Mus musculus: one gene and its partner. The protein of the gene in region 2 binds, or shares a complex with, the protein of the main gene of each other region. Links are inferred from orthologs where the notes say so. Each region holds a gene or a part of one and is shown on either strand. Other genes may lie near its edges. The genes, in order: Capns1 and Capn2.

Region 1 (11,377 bases), on a different chromosome or scaffold from region 2:
CATAGTCAGCTGCAGCCACTGGAAGAGGAAAGAAAGCACAGATGAGCAAAGGGACCCTGGAAAACCAGACACGTCACCCAAGGCCTGCTGGGCAAACAGGATGGTAGGGGCTGGACCTCACAGCTGAGCACCACCCCCAAGAGAAACCGGCTCACCTCCTGGATGTTCACTTGGATCTGTCCGGTGCCATTTTTGTCAAGAGATTTGAAAGCGCCTGCGGGGAGAAAGGAAGGGCTTGGGTGCTTCTAGAACGATAATATAATTATTTCCCTCTTGTTGATGTTGTTGTTTTATTCTGCTTTGTTTTTAGATAGGGTCTCATTAAATACCCTTTGGTTGACCTCAGACTTATGGAGAGCTCCCTGCTTCTGCCTCCAGAGTGCTGGGATCAAAAGCACGGCCACCCTGACTGGCTATAGCATGTTGATGTTGTTGATGGAAGTTAGCGCTCGCTCCACAAAACTTCGAAGACACGTGGTGATGATACACACTTGTGATCCCAGCACTAGGTGAGTTATGGTAGGAGGATCTTGAGTTCACTATTACCTTCAGGTACATGTGGGAGTTCAAGGCTAGTCAGGCTACATGAGACTCTATTAATAATATTAGGAGGAGGAGGAGGAAGAGGAGGACGAAGAGGAAGTTAAATCAATAAAATGTCTAATCCTGTGAGCATGTGGCATTTTTAAATGAGGCACAGAATTCAGGTATTATAACACAGTAAAAGAGTATACACCCATTATTCTTGAGGCATGGGGTTCAATCCCTGACATCTCAATAAATAAACAGGCAAAGTGATATGTTGCAGATCACACGACAGACAGACAGGACAGAAAACTGACTGGAACCCAGGCCCATCCTTCCTGACACCTATGCTACAACCTCCCAGCTGTAACCCAAAACAGGCCCCTAAAAGGAGGTAACTTGCCAATCTTGGCCTTAGCGTCTAGTGTGGTCCGCACTCCTGCCCTGGAACTTGAATCCATGCCTTCTGTCCACAACCAAACCAAGCCAGCGTTGCCCACACTACATCTGTTCCTTCCTGTACCAAGGCTGAGTCACCACCACCTTCAGGTGGCCACATATGGTGTCCTTGGTGCTACTGGTGCCCTGGCTACCACAGGTGAGAGGACCTTTCTCCTTAAACTTGTTATCCTCCTGCTTCTATCTCCTGCTTGCTGGATTACAGGTCTGTCGTATTCAGGTTAATGAGTGCCTGGTCACAAACCCAGGGCTTCACGTATGCGAGGCAAGCACTCTCCCAACTAAGCTAGATGCTAGCCCTTTTAACTAAGTAACTAATGAACTAATCTTGGTCTGAGATGTAGTCAATGATGACCTTGAACAACCGATCATCCTGTGGCCTCAGCTTTTTTAAGTGCTGGGGTCACAGATGTGCACCACCACACCCAACGTCTGTTTTCACTCTTCCCTTGGCTGCCAGATCAAAGGAGCTTTGTAAGCCATGGCTGACTCTGCCCCTTTCTTGCCTAGAAACTGCTATCTTGGCTCTACAACGCCCACGACTATCCGAGCGCTGCCCCTGAACTTGATATCCACAGCACTGCACAGTACACCCCTGACCATCACTCCTGTTTTTTCTCATTGCTCAATTAAGTTCTCAGGCAGTCACAGAATCAAATTCTGACTTTCCATCTTCCTGGTTGAGTAGCAGCTAGGAGCAAGTGCTTGGCTCGGGAGAGTGTTGGGTTCCACCCTAGCAGGAGGACAATAGTTCCCATTTTGGAGGTAGTCTTACATCAATCCTAATAAAAGCTCTCACCTCAGAGTCAAAAGTTCAAGGTCACTCTCAGCTACAAATCAAGTCTCAAATCAACCCGAACTACATGAAAACGTGTCTCAAGAAACCAGGCAAGGGGCTGGTGAGATGGCTCAGCAGGTAAGAGCACCCGACTGCTCTTATGAAAGTCCTGAGTTCAAAATCCCAGCAACCACATGGTGGCTCACAGCCATCCGTAACAAGATCTGACTCCCTCTTCTGGTGTGTCTGAAGACAGCTACAGTGTACTTACATATAATAAATAAATAAATCTTTAAAAAAAAAAAAAGAAAAAGAAACCAGGCAAGATGGAGCTGGAGAGATGGCTCAGAGGTTAAGAGCACCTACTGCTCTTGCAGAGGATCCTGGGGTTCAATTCCCAGTATCCACATGGCCATACAAGAATCTCAGCCAGGGGCTGGTGAGATGGCTCAGTGGGTAAGAGCACCCGACTGCTCTTCCAAAGGTCCAGAGTTCAAATCCCAGCAACCACATGGTGGCTCACAACCATCCGTAAAGAGATCTGATGCCCTCTTCTGGTGTGTCTGAAGACAGCTACAGTGTACTCACATGTAATAAATAAATCTTTAAAAAAAAAAAAAAAAAAAAAAAAAAAAGAATCTCAGCCATACAAGTCTCAGCTGTCCCTGCCTAGTGAGCCCAGCATTGCTGACATTAAGGTTAGACCTAGAGGAGCCCTTGGCCAATGAAGGTTAGCAAATCCCCACCCTCGCAGAGATCTAGAGTGACACTCACGGAACATGGCATCTAGCCTGACCAAGCAGCTGATGAAGTTATCGAAATCCATGTTCCCGCTCTCATCTGCGTAGCGCCGGATGATCATGCTGTAGAGATGCTCATTCAGGTGGAATCCTGGGAAAACAAAACAAAACAAAACAAACAAAAAACGGTTTGGTCTCAGGGCCCCAGCACACAGGCCTTCTCTTTTTTTGTTTTTTTGAGACAGGGTTTCTCTCTGTAGCCCTGGCTGTCCTGGCACTCACTTTGTAGACCAGGCTGGCCTCGAACTCAGAAATCCGCCTGCCTCTGCCTCCCAAGTGCTGAGACTAAAGGCGTGCGCCACCATGCCCGGCTTCACACAGGACTTCTCAATCTCCAGTACAGTGACGGTGTGACTTTGCTCACCCCATCCCCTGCCCATCATCACCCCCTGCCAGCACACCTGCTGCCTCAAAGGCCCCTGGAAGTTCATGGCTACCGATAGTCCCTGATCGGTCAGTATCAAAGCGTTTGTATATAGCCTAAGGATAGAAAAGACAACAGTCGGACCAAGCATCATGGAGCATGGGGTCCCCATGGCTTGGGGGATCAGATCCTGGGAGTTTCAGCGGCTACCACTTACCTGCCACTTTTTAATGTTGTTCCAGAGGTATTTGAACTCCTCAAAGCCCAGCTTGCCTGTGGTGTCGCTCTAACAAGAGGTTGTTAAGAACCAAGTGACAAAATGCAATGTGTGTGTGTGTGAATGCCAAAATGCTAACTTTTCTTTCTTCCATTCTCCCTTTTCTTTTCTTTTCTTTTCTTTTCTTTTCTTTTCTTTTTTCTTTTGGTCTTTTCACGACAAAGTTTCTCTATGCAGCTCTGGCTTTCCTGGAACTTGCTCTATAGACCAGGCTGGTCTCCAACTCAGAGATTCACCTGCCTCTGCCTCCTAAGTACTGGGATTAACCCTAATTCGTACTTTAAAAAATAAAATAAGGGCTGGAGAGATGGCTCAGGGGTTAAGAGCCCCCTCTCTTCCAGAGGTCCCAAGTTCAATTCCCAGCAACCACATGGTGGCTCATAACCATCTATAATGAGATCTGGTGGCCTCTACTGACCTACAGGCATACATGCAGGCAGAACACTGTATACATCATAAATAATACATCTTTAAAAAAAATAAAATAAGCTTAGAAGGCTAGATAGTCAGGAGTGCTTAATCTTCTTGCAAAGGACTTGGGTTTGGTTCCTACAATTCAAAACATGCAGCCCACAACCACCTGGAATTCCATCTCCAGGGGGTCCAACGTCCTCGGGCCTCTGAGAACACGTGCACGCACATGCAGACACACACACATGCACGTGAGTAAAAGTAAAATAAGCCAAGCGGGCATGGTAGCACATGCTTATAACTCTAGCACTTGAGAGGAAGATCAGGAGTTTGGCTTTGGCTACACACTGACTTCAAGGCCAGCCTAGGCTTCTTGAGACCCATCTCAAGAATCCAAAAATACTGTACAATAAAATAACTAGTAATCGGATGGTGGTGGCACACTCCTTTAATCCCAACTTGGGAGGCAGAGGTGCGCAGATCTCTGAGTTCGAGGCCAGCCAGGTCTATAGAGTAAATTCCAGGCCAGGCAAGGCAGAGAAATCCTGTTTCAAAAATCAATCAATCAATTGATCAATCAGTCAGTCAATCAATATTGCTTAAAAGTAAATAGAGAAATAAACGAAGCTTAGATTCTCAAACCAAAACTCCCAAGTCCAAATTCCTATCCTGCAATGTATTCTCTAAACGACTGTTTCTGCTATCCAAGCCTCAAGTAGCCCCAAGACTAGCTTTCAAGATCAGATATTCATGTCAGGTAAATTCTGGGCGGTTTGGCCAGAGACAAAACCACTGTGTCTCTCTGAGCCTGTTTCCTTTCCTATTACATCGTCTTTATCTAGCAAGGTATCTGTAAAGGTTGGATCCACTAATCTAGGTAAAGTTCCAGCTGTAGCAGCTGATATTATTTATGGTCACGTAGGTAAGTCTGTGTCCTCCAAGTATGAAGGCTTTCACCTTGGCCGTCCTCAACATATTCCCAGAAGACCCTCTTCACCCAAGGCATTCTCCAGGCTGGCCCCAAAAGGATACATCCATGACGGCCACCATGCTCCGACAAGTGTCAATGCCAAAACCATCAGTTTTCAGATCCGGGTCTGAGGGGGGAACAGGTTGAAGGTCAGAGGTCAGAGACCATCCCAGCCCATATGCCTCTAAACCTTCACCACACTCTGACCCTGGTCACTCACGTCGGGTCACGACCTTGTTGAGGATATTCATGAGTTCTGTGGCGCTGACCTCCATGTCCTGACGGCAGAAGGTAAGTACAGTTCAAGGGAGATGGAAAGGGTCTGGAGACCATAAACCGGGATGGGAACTTCCGGGTTGTCACAGTCAAGTGACAGAGTCAAGCGGTCAGGCAGGATACTTACGTCTCCAGCCAGCTGGACAAAAAGTTTCCTGAACTGACGGACTTCTTCACTCTCGTTGGCCTCAATATTGGAGTAATGACTACGTGGAGGCTGCAGAGAGAGGCGATCTCAGAACAGAGATGGAGAAACAAGTGTCCCAGGGAAAAGTCAGAGAGGGCTGGGCAGTCTGAGGGCCAGGGAACCTGAATTAGGTGTAGCAAGTAGGCGTGGCTGAGACCCAGGGTTTAGCTTAGGGGCCCTCAAAAAAATGACATTATTAACGGCAGGGGGTTTCCTAAGGAAGGAGGGGGAGCCTTATTCATAGGAATGGGGAAGATGAGGCGGGCAACAGGCCTGAGGAGGAAGGGTCTCTAGGTCTGCTTACCGGAGGCTCCGGGTTGTACTGCGCAGCAGCCTCGCTGAGGGGAGACAAGGGGGCTGAGTTAGCGCATGGGGGCAGAGCCTCCAACGGGCGGCAGAACGGTCAGCCAACCCCTGAAACTCCAGCCCTCCTCTTCCTTAAGGGGTTCCCTCCTCCCCTCGTCTACCTCATCGTCCTGACCTGGTCCAATCAAGAGAATGGTCTGACCCCTCCTTTCCCTCCATCGGGCCAACCTCTCCCACCTCCCAAGGGCCCACCCCACGGAAGAATCCTTTCCTTGCCCAGGAACACCCACCAATCACAATGTCAGAAGCATCTTAGCCCCAATCAAAATCCTGAAAACCTTAACAAACTTAGCAGGGCCCGCCCCTTGAAGAACTCACTTCACAAGGGGGTCTGTCTGCACCAGCTTTCCTAGGCCTCATCTTCCTCGGGTTCAGTTGTCCAGAGTCTTACTCCATCGCTCCTTTTGCAGATTATCTAACTGCCTAACGTCTACCTCTCCCGCCCCCCATCAGCCCCTACTCCTCCCAGGGATCAGTGCTTGGATCACCAACGATATAGGTGCCAGCCACCTGTTCTAACCCCAGCAAAGGATTTTTACCCACTAAACCAATCAGCTCCAGACCCCACACAACCTTCTCTGGACCATTTCTTCTTTGGGGACTCTGATCTCTCCTAAAACAGCAAGCTCCACCTCGCTCAAATCTTAAGCCATGGACAGCCTTAGATCCACTGGCTGCGCCCCCAGTGAAGGCTGGATACAATCCTATAGAATTGCACCTTCCCCAAACACAGAAGAGCCCCTATCCCCAAGAAACTGCATCCTATTTGTTGACCCACAGAAGCAGGTTTACTAATCCTGGTACTAAAAAGTGACACCAGCCTCGCTAGAATCCCCTTAGGGCCAGTTTTCCGGTATGGATCAGCCCAGACTAATTAAGAATTCTCAGGTCGGACTCTAAGTGAGTCTTTATTATTTGGCCCGCCCCGCCCCTTCAGGCCCCGCCTTACCTGATGGCGCTAATGACTCCGCCCAGGATGCGCATGGCAGTTCCACCGCCTCCGCCACCTCCTCCCAGTCCCATGCCTCCACCGCCACCGCCGCCGCCGCCAGCAGCTCCGCTGATCAGGCCTCCGAGCACATTCCCCAGGCCCCCGCCCAGACCCCCGCCTCCCCCACCGCCACCGCCGCCCTTCAAGAACGAATTCACCAAGAACATGATCGCAGCTGAGTCCTGTAAAGTAAAAGGGGTGGGTCGGGTAGTGGCCTTGCCAGGAGCCCAGCCCTTCCCGCAAAAAAAAAAAAAAAAAAAAAAAAAAAAGCAAGCATTTCCGGCAACTAGATTGGGGAGGAAACTAAGGCCTCGAGATGGGGACAGAGCCTCTAGCTAGGGGTCTGGACAGGTGATAGGAGATGTGAAACCTCCTAGGGTCTAGAAAGTACCCTGGCCCAGGCTTGACTGCATATATATAGGCATGAGGACAGGGGTACAGCTGGGCGTGCGTGGTAGCGCTCTACTGTAATCCCAGAAATTGGGAGGCTGAGGCTGGAGGACCAGTTCAAGGCCAGCCTCGGCTACAGCGCCTGCCTGCTTTACCCTGTCTTGAGGCAGCGGGAAAACAGGGGATTCTCGTGTAGAAACCCTAAGGTGTGTAAAACCGAACGTGTCTCAGATCCAGGCCTTCCAAAATTAAGCTCAGGGTAGGGATGACCCAGGGCTGACCAGGAAGTTCCTAATGTGGATTAAGACATTCAGATACTCTCGACAGAGGGACTACACTGTCACTACGGGATCTGTGGGCTCCGGCCAAAAATTATGGCTGTGCGCCCGGAGGATCCTGGATAACGGAGTTCTTCCCACCGCAAATGGGAACCACGATCTCGGATTGTGGTTCTAGACGCCCAAAATAATTTCCGGGTATCTCTCTGATCTTTGGGCTTATATTTTTTGGTCGTCAGATCCGGGATGGTAAGGAGTGTTCTGGAGGGGCTGACAGGCCCGATGGTTCGAATCTGAGAACACCGGTCCTAGGACCCCCCAAGGGCCAAGACTTTAGGGTCTCGCCAGATCTGAGGACTACGGATTCCGGATCTACAGGGTGCAGGGGTGCTGGACTGGAGTGTCCCGTCTCACTTACGGATCCGGCGGTCCGCGGTCTTGCTCGCCTGCTGCAGGGCCTCCGCTGTGTCCGGTTCGGGAGGGCGGGGCCGGTGACTCAGGCAGCTACTCCGGGTTAGACCCTGCCGCCACCCAGCCGTCGTCTGCGCGGTCCTAGAGCCTCCATTGCAGACTGCGCCTGCGCGGGAGGGTTATGGTTGCAAGTCTCTGCTTAGCTCATCCGTCCCCATACACACACTGCTGGAAATTCAACGCTGTCCAGATTAAATAGCTTTGAGTACGAATAAATTATTCTAACGCCCAGGTACTGGAGCCTCCAGGAACTAGATACAGGGTACCCGGTCACCGTTGCAGTATATAGTTGCAAAAAAGGACTTCAGTTGTCATTCATTCATTCATTCATTGTGCACTTTGAGACAGAGGTTTGTTAAACATCCTCTAAATGATGACCTAAAGCCCTAGCTAACCTCGAACTTGAAACAATCCTCCTGCTTCTGTTTCCCGAATGCTAGGAATCTACATCTTAAGTTTACCATCAGTTTGTGCCTCTCACCCAGGTCGCTGTTGGGCTTCTAGTCTGGCTGTCTGGCCACTCCCTAGGAACTATATAAACCTCGGTTTGAGTCTTTATTGCTCATCCCTAAAACAGTGACCTGGTGTCTCTGAGTAATGACCTCCTCATGTGTAAGGCGGGAACATAGCCAGGCGTGATGACACACACCTGTAAAACCAGCACTGGGAGGTGAGGGCAGGCAGCCATTCTCAGTACATAACAAGTTTGTGACCGGCTTGGGCTACATGAGACCCTAGAGGACACTAGGGTAAGCCCCTATCAGAATTAAGTGATAAATACATAGTAAATGGCAGCTCTTCTGTTAGTCCCTATGTCGCCATGTTGTTCCCTCAGCTGGGAGCTCACCTGGTTCCCTTAGCTCGTTTACTCTTGCTCATCCTTAAACAACATCGACAAATACCTGCCGGTCCCTAAATACTCTCCACTCACTAGGTTGTGTGTCCTCGAAGCAGGCCTGTGGGATAGGTCTGTTATTGTCCCCATTCTATGTATAAGTAAACTGAGGTTAAACAACCAGTCTGCTTTACCTGTTCAAAGAATCTCCGATAACTTAATATGATAATCAGTCAAATAAGATCTCAGCAGACAAGACCGTAATTGCACTAACGCCACCTAAGGGCTTGCTGGGACCAGGCCAGGTAATCATTGCTCAAACCTGTGTGTGTGTGTGTGTGTGTGTGTGTGTGTGTGTGTGTGTGTGTGTGTGTGAAGCAAGATTTAACCTGTCGAAACCGGAAACTCTAAAAGGCGGGAGCACAGAGGGTGGCGACCCAGGCCTAAGCCTTAGCGGATAAATCATTTGGTGATGACTAATGTGGATTCCCTCTCTGCCACACCCCTCCCTGCCACACTGAGCAGTCTGACCTCAGGCTCAACTCGCTGGCATAAGCCCTGTCCTCTGCCTACAAATACTCCTGTGTTTGGACTTGACTGTCTGTGTCCTCCACTTTGGACCAGAGCTCAGACATCTCTCATTTGGGAAGACCTCTTTGTCCTCACATCCACCCAAGGCTTGAAGAGGCTGCCAGCTTCATGCCCTCAGACCAACAGTAAACATGATGACACATGCCCAGGCCTCAGAAGACTCAGGCAGGCGAGCTACACCACAGGGTCTTATCTCAAAACAACGATTTAAAAATACTTAAGGGAGCCTATCGTGGTGGCACTTGTCTTTGATCCCAGCACTCAGGGGGCAGAGGCAGGGAGAACTCTGAGGCCAGCCTGGTCTACACAGTGAGTTCCAGAGGACAGACTGGGCTACATGGTGAGACCCTGTCTCAAACAAACAAAAGAAGGTTCATGGGAGTTTTGCTTGGGGATGGCTCAGGGGTCAAGAGTCTTGACTGTTCCTCCAGAGGACCCGGGTTCAGTGCTGAGCACCCACATCAAGCAGCTCCCAAGTGTCTCAAGTCCAGATCTAGGCTCCCTCTTCTGGCTCTGAAGGCGCTGGCACAAATGTACAAAGTCATGCATGCAAGCAAAACACACGTACAAACAAAAATAAAATAAAACCCATTTTTCACCATACACACTACCCAGTGTGGTCATATTGTCCTCTAATTCTGTCTCCCTGAGTCCCAGTTGCCGGCATCTGTGAGCTCTAGGTATCGTCCCTCTGTCCATTCAACTTGTGCCTGCCATCTGGTACCTCCCTGAAGTATTTTTCAGTGATTTTTGTCCCCTGTGTGTGTATATTTTGTGAGGTGGTATCATATAGCTCAGGCTAGCCTCAATCTCACTGTTTAACAGAGAATGGCTTTGAACTGATCTTCCTGCAACCACCCTAAAAGTTCTTGGGGTTACAGGAGTGTGTCTGATCCCACGTGTCTTACATATCATCTCCAGGCCACCAGCCCCCAAATCCCTATCTTCAACCTGGACAAGGCTCAGGACTCATGGCTTCTCTGTCTTGCTTTTGCTTCTTGTATGTCTGTGTCTGCCTTGTGTGTTCTGAGATTCAAACATGGATCCTCTGCTGGAGCAGCAAGTGCTCTAACCACTGTGCCTCCTCACCAGCTACTTGCTGCTGTTTACTTGTTTGCTTGTTTGCTTGCTTGCTTGCCTTTGAGACAAGCAAGGTCTTTCTGGGTGCCTGAGGCTGGCGTTGAACTCATGGCAATCCTGTTTAGCCACCTTGATGCTCTCATTACATTACAATCACACTTCACTGGTCCCAACTGTCTGCCTCCATAATGCCCCACTGTTCCACCCTGTCAGCAAGTCTAACTGGCTCCTCCTGCACTCTCAATGCTACCTCCCTCCCTGCTCACCCCCATCTCCCACCCCTTCACCTCACCTTCACCCCACCTCTAATTCCTCCCTGCCTCTAGCTGTCACCAACGCTTCCTGCCTAGTCTCTGGCCCTATAACCTGCAAACAAAGGAAGCCTGGCTCAGGCCAGATCCCATCTGTGCCTGGTACACCTCATTCCGGAAGAGTCAGAACTCCCTCCCCAGGGAGGGCCGCTCCGTGGTACAGCACAAGGCAGTGTGCATGAAGGCCTAGCACTTAAAAAAAAAAAGTTTTTCACTCAAGCCACAAGGTCTTTACTGACCTGTCCTTTCACCTCCCTGCTACTCTAAGTCAGTACAAGGTGGCTAGGCATCGCGCCGCACTCCTTTAGTCCCAGGAGGCAGAGGCAGGCTGATCTCTGCGAGCTTGAGGCTCTACCAGCAAGCTGTGTCGGGACACGGAACTCCATTCCAAGACCTCTCTTTTAGAGCTTCCTGGCAGTGAGGGAGAGGGGTCTTCTCAGATTTCTAATTAACTCCATCACACACCACTTCGTTTTCTTTCTTTCTTTTTTTTTTTTTTTTTTATGAAACAAAGTCTCATTGTGTAGCCTTGCCTGGCAGGGAACTTGCTATACAGACCAGGCGGGATTGGAATTCAAAGATTCTCTGGCCTCTGTCTCCCTCCCGGCTGCTGGGCTTAAAGGAGTGTTCTACACGAGGAGATCTCTCCACCTGGTTCTTTAATCCCAACGCTTGGGAGACAGAGAGATATGTGTATGAGCTGGAGGCCAGCCTGGTCTCCCCCACCTCCCTTTGAGATCTGGAGATTAAACTCGATTTGTCAGCCTGGCACCACTGAGTCATCTGGCTGGTCTCTTCCAAATGCAAATTTTTTATTCTGCGCGGTTTTTGCATGTAATATTAACTCGGAAAGAGCTGCTGTCTTCACCACCCCTTGCTCACCTGTTGCTCCTCATCCACTTTTCTCCTGGAAGGTTTCCAATGACTCTCACAATCCTTCACGCACAATAAACTAGACTGCAAGGCTGACTTCGTCTCTCTTAGCTTGCCAGAGTCTCTGCCCTCTTACTCCCCCTA
Region 2 (11,490 bases):
GGGGCTCTCACACAGAGGTGACATTGCTATGACTGCTGGCAGTGGTGGTAATGATGATGGTGGCAATGGTGGCAACACCTAAGCATTTCACAGATATCCTGAGCTGACACTTGTAACAACTCTGACTATGCAAAGTAGACAGTGGGTCTCCACTTGAGCAGACAAGTTTCCTTCTCTGTTGCTCTTATAGAATACCAACTGAGTAAAACTTGCGGAAGAAAAAGGCATATTTCACCCTCCAGGTTCATTGTCTTAGTTAGGGTTTCATTGCTGTGAAGAGACACCAGAATATTGGCAGCCCTTATAAAGGAAAACATTTAATTATGGCTAGTTTTCAGTTTCAAAAGTTTAGATCAACATGGTGCTAGAGAAGCAGCTGAGAGGTCTACATCTTGATTCACAGCCAGCAAAGAGAGACTGAGCCATCCTAGCTGTAGCTTGAACATAGGGGACCTCAAAGCCCACCTCCACAATGACACACTTCCTCCAACAAGGCCACAACTCCTAATAGTGCCACACCCTAATGACCAAGCATGACACATAGACACATGAGTCTATGGAAGCCATACCTATTCAAATCACCACATCCATCATGGAGGGAAGTCAGGGCAGGATCTCAAGGCAGGAACCTAGAGGCAACCACTGAATTAGAGCCCCAAGGAGGCACTGAGCACTGGCTGTCTTCTAGGCTTACATTTAGTGACCTTATTTATATAACCCTAGGCCCACCTGTCTAGGGGTGGGCACTCACTACAGAGAGATAGGTCCTCCTCTGTCAATTAGTCATCAAGGAAATACACCCCCAGACATACCCAGGAGCAAATCTGAAGGAGGCAATTCCTCAAATGAGGCCCCCAACCCACCCCCAGTTATCTCTAGTTGGTGTCAAGTTGGCAAAAATGACCAGGTATAGGAAGGAGATAAGATAGGGGTGGAGGGGCTGGCGTTTTGAAAATGGCAAGGGATCCTACAAGTGAAGATGGAATTCATCCTTAGCAAATCTGCCATTGTGAGACACTCCTGTGAAGGTCCCTCTCAGAGAGGGAATTTGGTGCCTAAGGGGCGCCCTCATCTGTGGCCCTGCGTGCAGGCTGGTGACACAGGCAAAGACTCAGAAAGCAGCTGGGTGTCTGGAACTTGATTCAAACGGTTTCCTCTCCTCTTCCAGCCCCAGGCCTTTCACATCTGCAACATTAAGGAGAACCTGTCTGATCTCCCTTCGGCTCTCGGATACCCTCCTGAGCCCTCTCTGCTTCATGGCACACACTGCAGTCTTGAGAGAAGAATAAATCCTAATAAATACAATCTCTCCAGAGGAAAGGAAGTCATACTATGTGCTACTCAGCCTTCCACGGCTGTGAAACGAGCGCCTGAGAGAATAGGTGAAAGGCAGGAATGACTTGGGTGGGCTCAGGCTTCCAGAGAGATCAGTCTGTGCTCAGCTGGTCCCACTGGTTTAGGGCTGAGGTGAGGCAGGAACCCGCAGAGAAGAAAGGGGTTCCCTTCATTGTAGACAGGAAGCAATCAGAGAAGAAGAACCTGAAGGCCGTATATGAACCCTTCAAAGGCCACTCTACAGTGACTTCTTCCTCTGACTAAGACCTGCGTGCTAAAGTTTCTACCATTTCTCAAAATAGAGCCACCAGCTGGGAACCAAGCATTCACTATCTGAGCCTGGGGTGGGGACATTAATGCTCAAACAAACTTGTCACACAAAACCAGGTCCTTTGTTTCTGTCTCCTGTACATTGATACAGGAGACGGAACTCAGGCTTCCAGAGAGGTCAGTCTGTGCTCAGCTGGTCCCACTGGTGCACACTTAGATAACTGATCTACCAGTGAACGACAGCTCCAAGTGGATTTCAGTAACACTGTGGAATTCCTCTAGTCTGTGATTTGCTTTGAAGTCACACCACAGACCTGAAACAAGGAGAAGAGGAAAGCATAGTTGTGCCTCGTACTCCACCTGCCTTGTCCTTTGCTGTCTGAAGCCAGAAAGGGAGGCCCTGCTGTGGTGTAAGGTTTCAGAGTAAGGCTTAGTCCAGTCCACCACACGCCAGCTACTGCCACAGTCCTCCTAAAACAGGGAGCGAGGGTTTCCTGCAGCCAGCTGTGAAGTTTGTGAGTGCAACCAAAAACTGCATCTCTCTCTCTCTCTCTCTCTCTCTCTCTCTCTCTCTCTCTCTCTCTCTCTCTCTCTCTCTCTCTGTCTCTCTCTCTCTCTCTCTCATATTCCAGATATGCCAGCTGTTTCTGATTCACAAATACCCTTCTGGGCGGGATGACTCATTTGGAAAGAGGGGATCTGTGTATGTGGCTATGGTTCCCTGACAGGGGTCATGTGGCCAGAGAAAGAAAAGACCTGGCCAACTCCCCTGAGAAAATATGGTGAGGGAAACTTCGAGAAGCATAAAGAACAGGGTTGACTCAGGTTACAAACTGGTCCTTGTCCAGAGAGTGAGGTCAGCCATTCCTCTGTGTGTCTGCAGATTTGTTGCAGTAACACTAGACTCCGTCTGGGGCCTTTGGGGAGCAGAGCTCTATGCTCACAGTTGGCTTGGTCGGCTGCCCTGCCTGAATGCACCGTGAAGGGTGTCGCTAAACCGGAAGAGGAAGCCCTGGGTGAGAAGGGATGTTCTTCTGCCTCCGCCTTGCAAAGAAAGCTTCGGTCTTGCAAGTTTCTGACTCGTTGGCAGTGATGGGCGTAGCCTGCCCAGGCTTTTGTAGCTAGAAGGATTGGGGAGGGGGGCCTGGTCTCCAGCTGCCAGGGAGGAGGAACCAAACTTCCTGCTATATCAAGTTTGGGACAAACTTTTTTCCAAGAGCCCTGAGCCGGGCAGAAATCAGGGTGGGGCCAATGGAAATAAGATAGTGGGAAAATTAAAAGTTTCCAGGAAAGGGCTGTGAAGCGTCTGAAGCCATTGCACAGGAAACCCCTGAACTACCAAGAACAACTGTGGTAGTCTTCAATTCCTTCAGTCCCACAAGACAAGACAGAGCCTGGTGACATGCAGTGTGCCTATTAGGCTAAGTGCTGGGAGTTGAAACCTAAAGACAGAGAATATCAAATAGAGTCAAACTGAGGTAGGGAGACATTGCCTTTCCAACCTGTGATCCTGGGCAGGATGGCCCCCTCTCAGGACTCTGCAAGCACCTCAGGTTCAAACAGAAAAATAAGGGAGAGGAGGCTCCGTTTTTTTTTTCTGTGGCAGAGGAGGGACAAGCAGAGTCAGGGAGAATCTGGAAGAGAAACACTGGGAAATGACGAGCCAAGTAGAGGAATGTTCTGGCTATCGTTGGCCCCTTCCCAGAAGCTGGTGACAGTGGGCTGGAAGCCCTCTGTTTCATTTGTGTGTGGGCCATCCTGGGGGAAGCAGATCTGGGGAACCATTAAGGAAAGAAAGAATCCCAAGTGAAGTTTGAGCAAGTGAAGCAGTGAGTCAGCCTTGGGCAACAGTAGACACCCGGTTAAAGACAAGAATACAGAAACGAGGCTAAATAGGAATGAATCTTTCTTAAAGCTAAAATTATGGCTTCATATTGATACAAATGAACACATTTTAAAAGATTTTATTTGACAAATACAGATGGAGTAACCAGACACCTCATGTTTTGTTTGTTTGTACTTTTGTTTTTTTAGACAGGGTCTTGTTGTATAGCCCTAGCTAGCCTGGAACACTCCGTGCAGACCAGGCTGGCCTGGAATTCATGGAGATCTGCCCCCATCCCTGCCTCCCCTTAGCATGTATGTATCCAGCTTACTGCTGGGTAGAACCTTCTGGGCGCGGCCCGTCAGGCACTTCATGTTAAGTGTTGGGATTTAAAGACATGGGCTACCATGCTCGACAGCCAGCATTTGTTTGCAGCATGGTGGTTTCTAAGCTTCATGGCTCTTTTCCGGAAGCTGTTCATTTTTTCCCACCATCTGATTTCCTTTGGCCCCACCCTGATTTTTTCTGGGCTCAGGATTCAAAAGGGAAGTGGGGGAAGATCCCAGACACCTGCCATGCCCAGGAGAGAATAGTGAGGTAGCAGTATCAACAGACAAGCCCTGGCTTTGCCACAGGGAGACAGACACTTTGATTCTTCCAGGAACAGTCATTTGCATATCACTGATATTTCAAGTTGCTACAATTTCCTGCAACTGACAGAGTTACAAACTATCTCAGAAACCATCAATGCTGAACCAAGATGAGGTTCAAACCAGGGTTTCTCAGCCTGGCACAGAGATCTTTCAGACTGCACTTTTCTTCCTGTTCTCTCTGTAGAGGGATGCCCTCCGCCCGACCATCCTTTAGTAGCACCTGGCTTCCACCCAGTAGAGGCCAGGAGCCTCCTTTGTCCCAGTTGTGACAATATGAGGAAAGTCTGCAGTTAGGGTCAAAAACCTTTAGGGTCACATTGGTGCGTGCGGGTTGCTTCCAGTTGAGAACCCGTGCTTTAAACCATTCATAGCACAAGCCCGCCCAGTTCTGTGTGTGTGAGTGGCAGCGAAAACTTTCATTGGACAGAGCGGTGGTACAGGCCACCAACAGGGGCTCTGTTCTAAATGGTGTCCCAGCAGCAACTCAATAAATCATCCCAGGTAAATCTGAGTTTTAGATAAGCATCACATTATTATTCTAACACAGGTTTGCCTCGGGTGATATTTGAGGGCTACGTATGCTAAAACCACACAATCCCCCAGCCCCTTTTCTTGAAATTTAGATTTAACAAGCATGGATTGTTTTGTTTTGTTTTTTTGTTTTTTTGTTTTTTGTTTTTGTCAAATTGTACAGCCCTACTTATGCACAAATAAGTAACTGCAGAGGCCCTGGGACCCTAAAATTCCTGTCTTGCTTTAATTTGTAGGGGTTACATCTTTGAACTTCTTTGGAGCTCAGTTTCTCATCTGTAAGATGGACACACCAGTAGCCATTTCTCACAAATTTGGGGGTGGTAGGTAACATGTGTGCCCAGAGCCTGCAGAGCTCTCTTTCGATCCTGAGCCCAATGAGTGGCAACTGGCTTAGTCGCCGCGCTCCCTCCCTCATCCGCTCCTGACTCATCCGATGTTTTCTGGACAGTCATTGCTGAGTTTCGCCCAGCCTTACTCCCCAATGGCTGGGGTTTGACAACTTCGCTCCCCAACTTGCGATTGTCGTCCCCCCAACACCCCCCGCTCGCCCTCCCCACCGGGCCGCGCCATCCCGAGAGCCGTCCGAAGGTGGCAGCATCGGCCCCGTAGTCCTCACGGTCGGGCTGGCACTGTGCAGGTCGCCGGCGAGCCGCGTCCGGAGCCCGGCGCCGAGCAGGCCTGGGGAGGCGGAGGCCACACCCCGCGCACGGCCCAGGCGCTTCCCGCCGGTGAATCATCCCCGCAGCAGCGGCTCCCGCAGTCCGCTGCAGCGCCCCGGGCCCGGCCGCGCCCCAGCCGAGTGCCGTGCCCCGCCTCTCCGCGACCCCTTTCTCCGTGCAGTGCGCCAACCGGATCGCTACCATGGCGGGCATCGCGATAAAGCTGGCCAAGGACCGCGAAGCGGCCGAGGGGCTGGGGTCGCATGAGAGAGCCATCAAGTACCTCAACCAGGACTACGAGACGCTGCGGAACGAGTGCCTGGAGGCCGGGGCGCTCTTCCAGGATCCTTCCTTCCCCGCCCTGCCGTCATCCTTGGGCTATAAGGAGTTGGGGCCCTACTCCAGCAAAACTCGGGGCATCGAATGGAAGCGGCCCACGGTAGGAAGCGCGAGGGGAACAGGCAGGGCCGGCAGGGCCTGGAAGGGCACTCGGGGTTCCGGGAGGCTGCAAGTCCCTGGCTCCCCGGCTCGGTAGTCCCTGCTTAGTAGTGCTCCGCGATTGCTGCTAAGGGGACTCCCTATGCAGACTGAGGCCCAGCCAGTGGACCTGCCCCAAGCTGCGCGCAGAGCGCTTCGCAGGACAGGACCCCAAATCCCATTAGTGGACACGCCCTGGAGGCTGCCTTCGGCTTCACAAAGCCGCAGGGACACAGGGCCGCTGGGGTGAAACTTTTACTGGACTCTAGTGGTGATCTGAGTGAGGGTGGAGACACTGCTCGGCAGTAGGGGTGGGGGTGGGGATATCAGAGTAGGATAGAAGACTCGGGACTGCTGGGTGGGTGGGGGCAAGGGGTGGGCACAGCCTGGCTCTGGCTGACAAAGGTGGTCACAAGTACATGTGGCACTTGTAAATGCAAGTACATGTATTTATCCAGCGTGGGTTTTGTCTGGCTCTCAAAGTGCAGTTAGAGGACTCTTTAACTTAAAGAACTGAAGGGTAGCTTAAAGAATCGATGGGCTCCAATGATTCTGTTACTCATTATTTTGCTGACCTAGAGTCCTCACCCGGAAACCTCTGCTCAACTCCTAGATACTCCTGTCCTAACCCTCAGAGTCTCTGCCCTTAAGCCCTTCCCGTTCCCTTGTGGTTTCAATCGCCAGTGGATGCCCATGGGACCCTCACTTGACTTTTCCCAGGAACTGAGAGGAAGTCTAAACTTCTAGATTCCTGTTAGGACAATGGACATTCATACCCTGCTTCTATCCTCTTGGTTCCCCCAGGCTGCTTTTGTTACTGAGTCTAGTCTGAAAGTACCAGAGACTAGCGGGGGTATAGCTCAGTTGGTAGTCTTTACTTAGCATGCATGAAGCCCTGGGTTCTATCCCAAGCACCATATAAAATCAGGTGCATGCTAATATATGCCTGCCATTCCAGGACTCAGGAGGTGGAGATGGGAGGATGAGAGATTCAAAGCCTGGGGCCACAAAGATGGCTCATTGAGTAAGGGCTTTGGTGGTCATTTCTAATGACCTTAGTTCTGTTGCAGAACCCACCTGGAAAAAGAGAACCAACTCCCCCAAAATTTTTCTCTGACCTTCATATGCACACTGTGGCGCACACGTGCAGAATCTCACAGGCACGAATGTGCACACACACAAAATAAATACTAATAACAACAGAAGAAGATGGAGGCTGGCCTTGGCTATACAGTGAGTTCATTTGAGGCCAGCTTGGACCACATGAGAACTTGACTCAAATTTGAAGATAAGTGGCAAGGAAGACTAGAGAAGTCTCTGTGGAACAGGATTCAGAGCACCTGGGTACCCAGGGTGAATCACTGGCTCTCCCTTCCTCACCTCAGCCGGGCATGGTGGTACACACCCTTGATTGAAGCCCTCAAGACACTTTGTAGCTTTGGCTGTTTAGTAAGTTCTAGGCTAGCCTGAGCTACACAGTAAGACTGTGTCTCAACATTAAATGAAGATAAAAATAAGACCAATGAGGCCACTCTGTTTTCTCTCTTGTCTACCACACTTGGTGCAGCTGCTGCGGCTGCTTCGGTTTCCTGGAGACACCCCGCTCTTCTCTCTTACCCTCCTCATCTCCCAGGCATGCTCTTGCCCCAAGTCTGGCTCATTTACATTCTTTCAAAGTCTCCTCCTTCGAGAGTTGTTCCTCACCCTGCTGCTCTCTGCCCTGTGCACATTCCTGCCCTGGGGTTGTCACCATGAACACACGCAGTCACATGTTTTCTCGCTGAGCTGTTCTGTGTTATTTGCCATGTGCTCTCAGTGTCTTGCTGGAGTAGCATCCCTTCTCAATATCCATTCATTCATTCATTCATTCACTCATTCACTCATTCACCAGCATTTAGGGAGTGCTTACTCTAGCCCAGGCATTGAGACATCCACAACAAACCACTGACTGTTTAAAGAATGAATGAATGAATGAATGAATGAACGAACAGTCATTGTGAGCCTCAGATGACATCCTGGCCGGGGAGACTATTCACATACCAGAGAACACATTCCTCACATTTGCATACTGTTTTACGACTTACTTTTTATCATTTCTGTGGTTAGGAGACACCCTAATCAGAAGCAACTGAAGGGAGAAAGAATTTACTTGGCTTAAAATTCCAGGTTACAGCACATCATTGAAGGGAAGTTAAAGCAGAAACTCAAGGCTGAGGCATGCTTACAACCCACACACATCTGAGTCCACCAACGTTCCATTCAATCAATGAGCAATTATTGAACACTTATTATATTCCAGGCACCGTATACTTAGTTTCTGTCTCTGAAGCCCAGAGAGGGCAGAAGTGTCCTTCAACAGGTGATAGTAAAGCCTTTGGGCCTCCTGAGTAGAAAGACAGAGTTCCAGAGCCACCTCAGGGACACTGCCTAGGGCAGGCTACACACATCATCGGACAGTTGGAAAAAACAAAGCTTGGGAGTGTCAACCTTGCTCAGAACAAATCAAGTCTGCATTCATGGTTGGGCTAGCTGTCCTGACCTGTCCTGTCATACCCTGGTGGGGCCAGGCAACAGGAATAACAACAACAATAATAAAATAATAATAATAATAATAATAATAATACTAATAAAGTGGCTACTGGAGTCACTAGCTGGTTTTTGGAGACTGAAATAGAGCAAAGTCATTGAATGGGAGAAGGGAAGGGACCAGACAGGCTGCAGACCCTGGAGGAGGAGAAATGGAAGGGAACTAGGTGTTTCACTTATTTAAAAAGGATGTGTACAGGAAAAGAAGAGTGGAGGAGAAGGAGAAAGAGGGGGAGGGGAGAGAGAGAGAAAAAAGAGAGAGAGAGAGAAAGAGAGAGAACAAACACTTGTGGCTTGATTTAAGAGTTGTTCAGCTGTGAATGACTTGAGTTTGCTAGAGGTTGAGTCATAAGAGAGGAAGGGGTTAAAGGTGACCCCCTGAGAAAGGCTGAAGCAATCCAGAGAAAGCAAGGCAGGCAAGGGAGCTGATTAGCCAGGTTGGTGGCTTGGGGGCTGACAACTCTTCCGGAGAGAAGAAGAGTTCTTGTCCTAACACTGGCAAGAGAACTCTCCACTGCAAAGAGATGAGATAGACCATGACCAAGGCTGAAGGCAGTGGCCATGCTAGGCCACAGTGACGAGTGGCCCAGCATCGTCCGAGGATGGCACCTCAGGTCCTCTCAGCTGTCATGATAGAATACTTGTCAAGGCCATTCACTTGACTCTGAGAACAGTCCTGTGTGGGTGGTACATTTGTCTTCTTCAAACCCATTGTGCAGATGCAGATGAACAAGCTTCAGGATGTCGTGTAACCCACCAGCATCCTAGACCTTATGCAGTAAGTGGCAGGGCTGAGATTCTCACTGCCTTATCAGAATCCAAGGCTCAAGCCCTCCCTCCTTTCTTGTATGGCTACATCATATTTAATTCCAGGCTCCACAGGCTGTGACTAGGGCTCAGTTTTCTAAAGTATATCCAGGTTGTGAAGTCTGAACTTGGACTTCTCTGGAGACCCTGAGGCAGTCTCTGAAGTATAATGGTAGCCCTCCTCCTGGGGTAAGAGCTTGGCCCCTGGATGATCGGTGTGACAGAGGCTCCTGGAGCTGAGACCAGTCTGCTCCATTCCCAGGGTTAAGTGCTTGCCTGGCAGACCTTAGGAAAAGTTGGCTTCCCTGCTCAGACAGAAGTGCTTTCTCATTGCCCCTGCATCCGTCAGGCAGACTGATGGGGAAGCAGAAAGTGAGCATGGAAGTGAGCAGGAAGTGAGCAGGAAGTGAGCAGGAAGTGAGCATGCTCTGTGAGCTGGCGTGCTGGAGGTTGCCAGGATAGACCCATCTCTCAAGGAAGAAGACTCCTGGTAGACAGAATAGTGCCAAGAGTCAAGCCACACTATGCAGATGCGAAACTCCTACAAACCAGCTTAGATTTGGGGCCTGACTTCCTTTGTGGCTTTTGGGTGGAGCTCTTCAGAATCTGGAAACACACCCAGGAGCCTGTGGGAGGGCCGAGATCTTCCATGTTGGCTGTAGGGAGCAACCTCCTCAGAGGCATAAATGCATTAGCACTTGACACCAATGAGTTCAAATCCCAGTTGTCTCTACCACTGGGGAACGGAGAAGCTTTAAGCAATCACTTTACCTCCTTAGGTGTTCTCCACATATAATAGGAGCTGATTTCATCTTTAGTCGCTAAAGTGCTACAAGAGATAAGGCTCCATGCGGTGTTTGCATAGCAGGTACAGAATGCACGGATTCTCCAAGTGCTGAGAGAAGGCAGAAGGGCTGGATTCAACCCGTCCCCAAGAAACACGTGTATTAGAAAGATGGAGGAGGACCCGTGAGTGTCACCAGACTTAGGTTCTCAAAAACTCTAGGACAGAACTCAAAGGGAAGGGTGGGGATAAATGAGGGAGAGGGGCTTTATCCTAGAAGGAGAGGGAAAAGATATCGAAATGTGAACTCATTTGGAAAATGTAGGCAAAATGAATGTCATGCAAACCCAACCACTTGCATGCATGCCCGGAAGAGAAGCTGCCAAAATGGTGGGCAGGGGCCACTTAGTGTGGAAGGTCCCAACACCTGGCAGAGGATGCTGATGCATTCCCTGGCCCTGGTAAACAGTGTAATGGAGCAGGGTCATAGGACTTCCTCCTAGCATGGAGGTCTGACTATGAAACGTTCCTCAGAGCTGAGCAGCATGAGGAGGGGCTTGAAGCAACCACTGGGAACCGAGGCTCCTGGCCACCGTGCTGACCATGCTCTGTGTGTTTGTTTCCAGGAGATCTGCGCTGACCCCCAGTTCATTATTGGAGGAGCCACCCGCACAGACATCTGCCAAGGAGCCCTGGGTAAGTAGTGGGGTCTGGAGCAAGCTGTGCTGTGTCAACTGCAAGTTCTGTGGCTTCTCTCCCCCAGCTGTGTGGTGACTTCCATTTTCAGAAGCTCCCTGGATTTCTTGTCTCCTGGGGCTGCCCCCTCGCCGGTCACAATGCTAAAACGGAAGGTCTGTGAGGTCCAAGACAGGTCCGAGAGGAGGCAGTGACTCAGTGTGAAGGAAGGGGAATCCTTTCACTGCTGAGAGGAAGTGGGAAGCACCAGGGCCAGCTCTGCCATGCCTGCTGCTCCCCGCAGGAGCTCACCAGGGAAAGCAGTGTGAATGTGAACAATCGGAATGATTCAAACTAACCCAAGCATCGGTCAGGATTGGGAGGGCCCTGTCTGAGAATTAGGGCTCTAGGCTCTCCAGCTTCTGAACGCCCCACCCCACCCCAGGCATCTGGTGAGTCTCAGCAATGATAATCCACCTTCACTTTTTCTTCTATGTAATAAACATGACCCTTTAATTATTCAGGGCAGATTACTTGCTCTGATAAACCAGAAGCCTGCTATCTGCCTCAGTGGGCTTCCCAGACAAGTCCACTATAAAAAAACTGGCTCTCTAGAATTCACCACCTTCCTATGCCCACTTCCTAGGAGTTCCGATCTCATACTGATGGCAGCCACCATTTAATAAGCCAGTCACTAAATCATGCTTGCCCACACTCTAAGATACCCCCGATCGCTCTCATTTTACAGATGAGCATTGCCATACCAGAGAGAACAGGCCTGGTGTTCAGACACATTTGTCTGACCCCAGCACTAGTGCTTTAAGTGCCAAGATGGCCTCCCTAGAAAGAGGCCTGCAGAAGTACCACCCTGTGGGGGATGTGCTA

The links.
Region 1: the proteins of Capn2 (region 2) and Capns1 are in contact, whole or in part, in a crystal structure (PDB 1KFU), measured with the Homo sapiens proteins. The link is inferred for Mus musculus from reciprocal best matches to the Homo sapiens genes CAPN2 and CAPNS1. Residues at the interface, in NP_001739.3 of Homo sapiens: Ala2, Gly3, Ile4, Ala5, Lys7, Leu8, Ala9, Arg12, Glu13, Glu16, Phe60, Arg366, Arg416, Arg417, Arg418, Arg420, Asp494, Ile516, Phe551, Glu575, Lys578, Val581, Asp582, Asp585, Gly588, Ser589, Gly590, Gln641, Leu642, Gln644; in NP_001003962.1 of Homo sapiens: Thr85, His86, Ser88, Asp111, Asp112, Met113, Glu114, Ser116, Thr118, Asp142, Arg145, Ser146, Ala149, Val150, Met151, Asp152, Ser153, Asp154, Thr155, Thr156, Gly157, Gly160, Phe161, Glu163, Asn206, His208, Leu209, Met212, Ile213, Arg215.

Annotation. Positions count from the first base shown.
Region 1 is NC_000073.6:30,187,516-30,198,892, forward strand, and holds the start of Capns1 (calpain small subunit 1), read right to left. Parts: upstream 7,639-11,377; 5' UTR 7,491-7,638; intron 6,587-7,490; 5' UTR 6,572-6,586; coding exon 6,363-6,571; intron 6,234-6,362; exon of another isoform or gene 5,732-6,233; intron 5,686-5,731; exon of another isoform or gene 5,573-5,685; coding exon of another isoform or gene 5,529-5,572; intron 5,386-5,528; coding exon 5,352-5,385; intron 5,078-5,351; coding exon 4,988-5,077; intron 4,863-4,987; coding exon 4,805-4,862; intron 4,712-4,804; coding exon 4,647-4,711; intron 3,213-4,646; coding exon 3,144-3,212; intron 3,043-3,143; coding exon 2,964-3,042; intron 2,654-2,963; coding exon 2,537-2,653; intron 215-2,536; coding exon 156-214; intron 19-155; coding exon 1-18. UniProt on the Homo sapiens protein: Regulatory subunit of the calcium-regulated non-lysosomal thiol-protease which catalyzes limited proteolysis of substrates involved in cytoskeletal remodeling and signal transduction. Essential for embryonic development.
Region 2 is NC_000067.6:182,511,343-182,522,832, reverse strand, and holds the start of Capn2 (calpain-2 catalytic subunit), read left to right. Parts: upstream 1-5,222; 5' UTR 5,223-5,478; coding exon 5,479-5,715; intron 5,716-10,556; coding exon 10,557-10,626; intron 10,627-11,490. UniProt on the Homo sapiens protein: Calcium-regulated non-lysosomal thiol-protease which catalyzes limited proteolysis of substrates involved in cytoskeletal remodeling and signal transduction. Proteolytically cleaves MYOC at 'Arg-226'.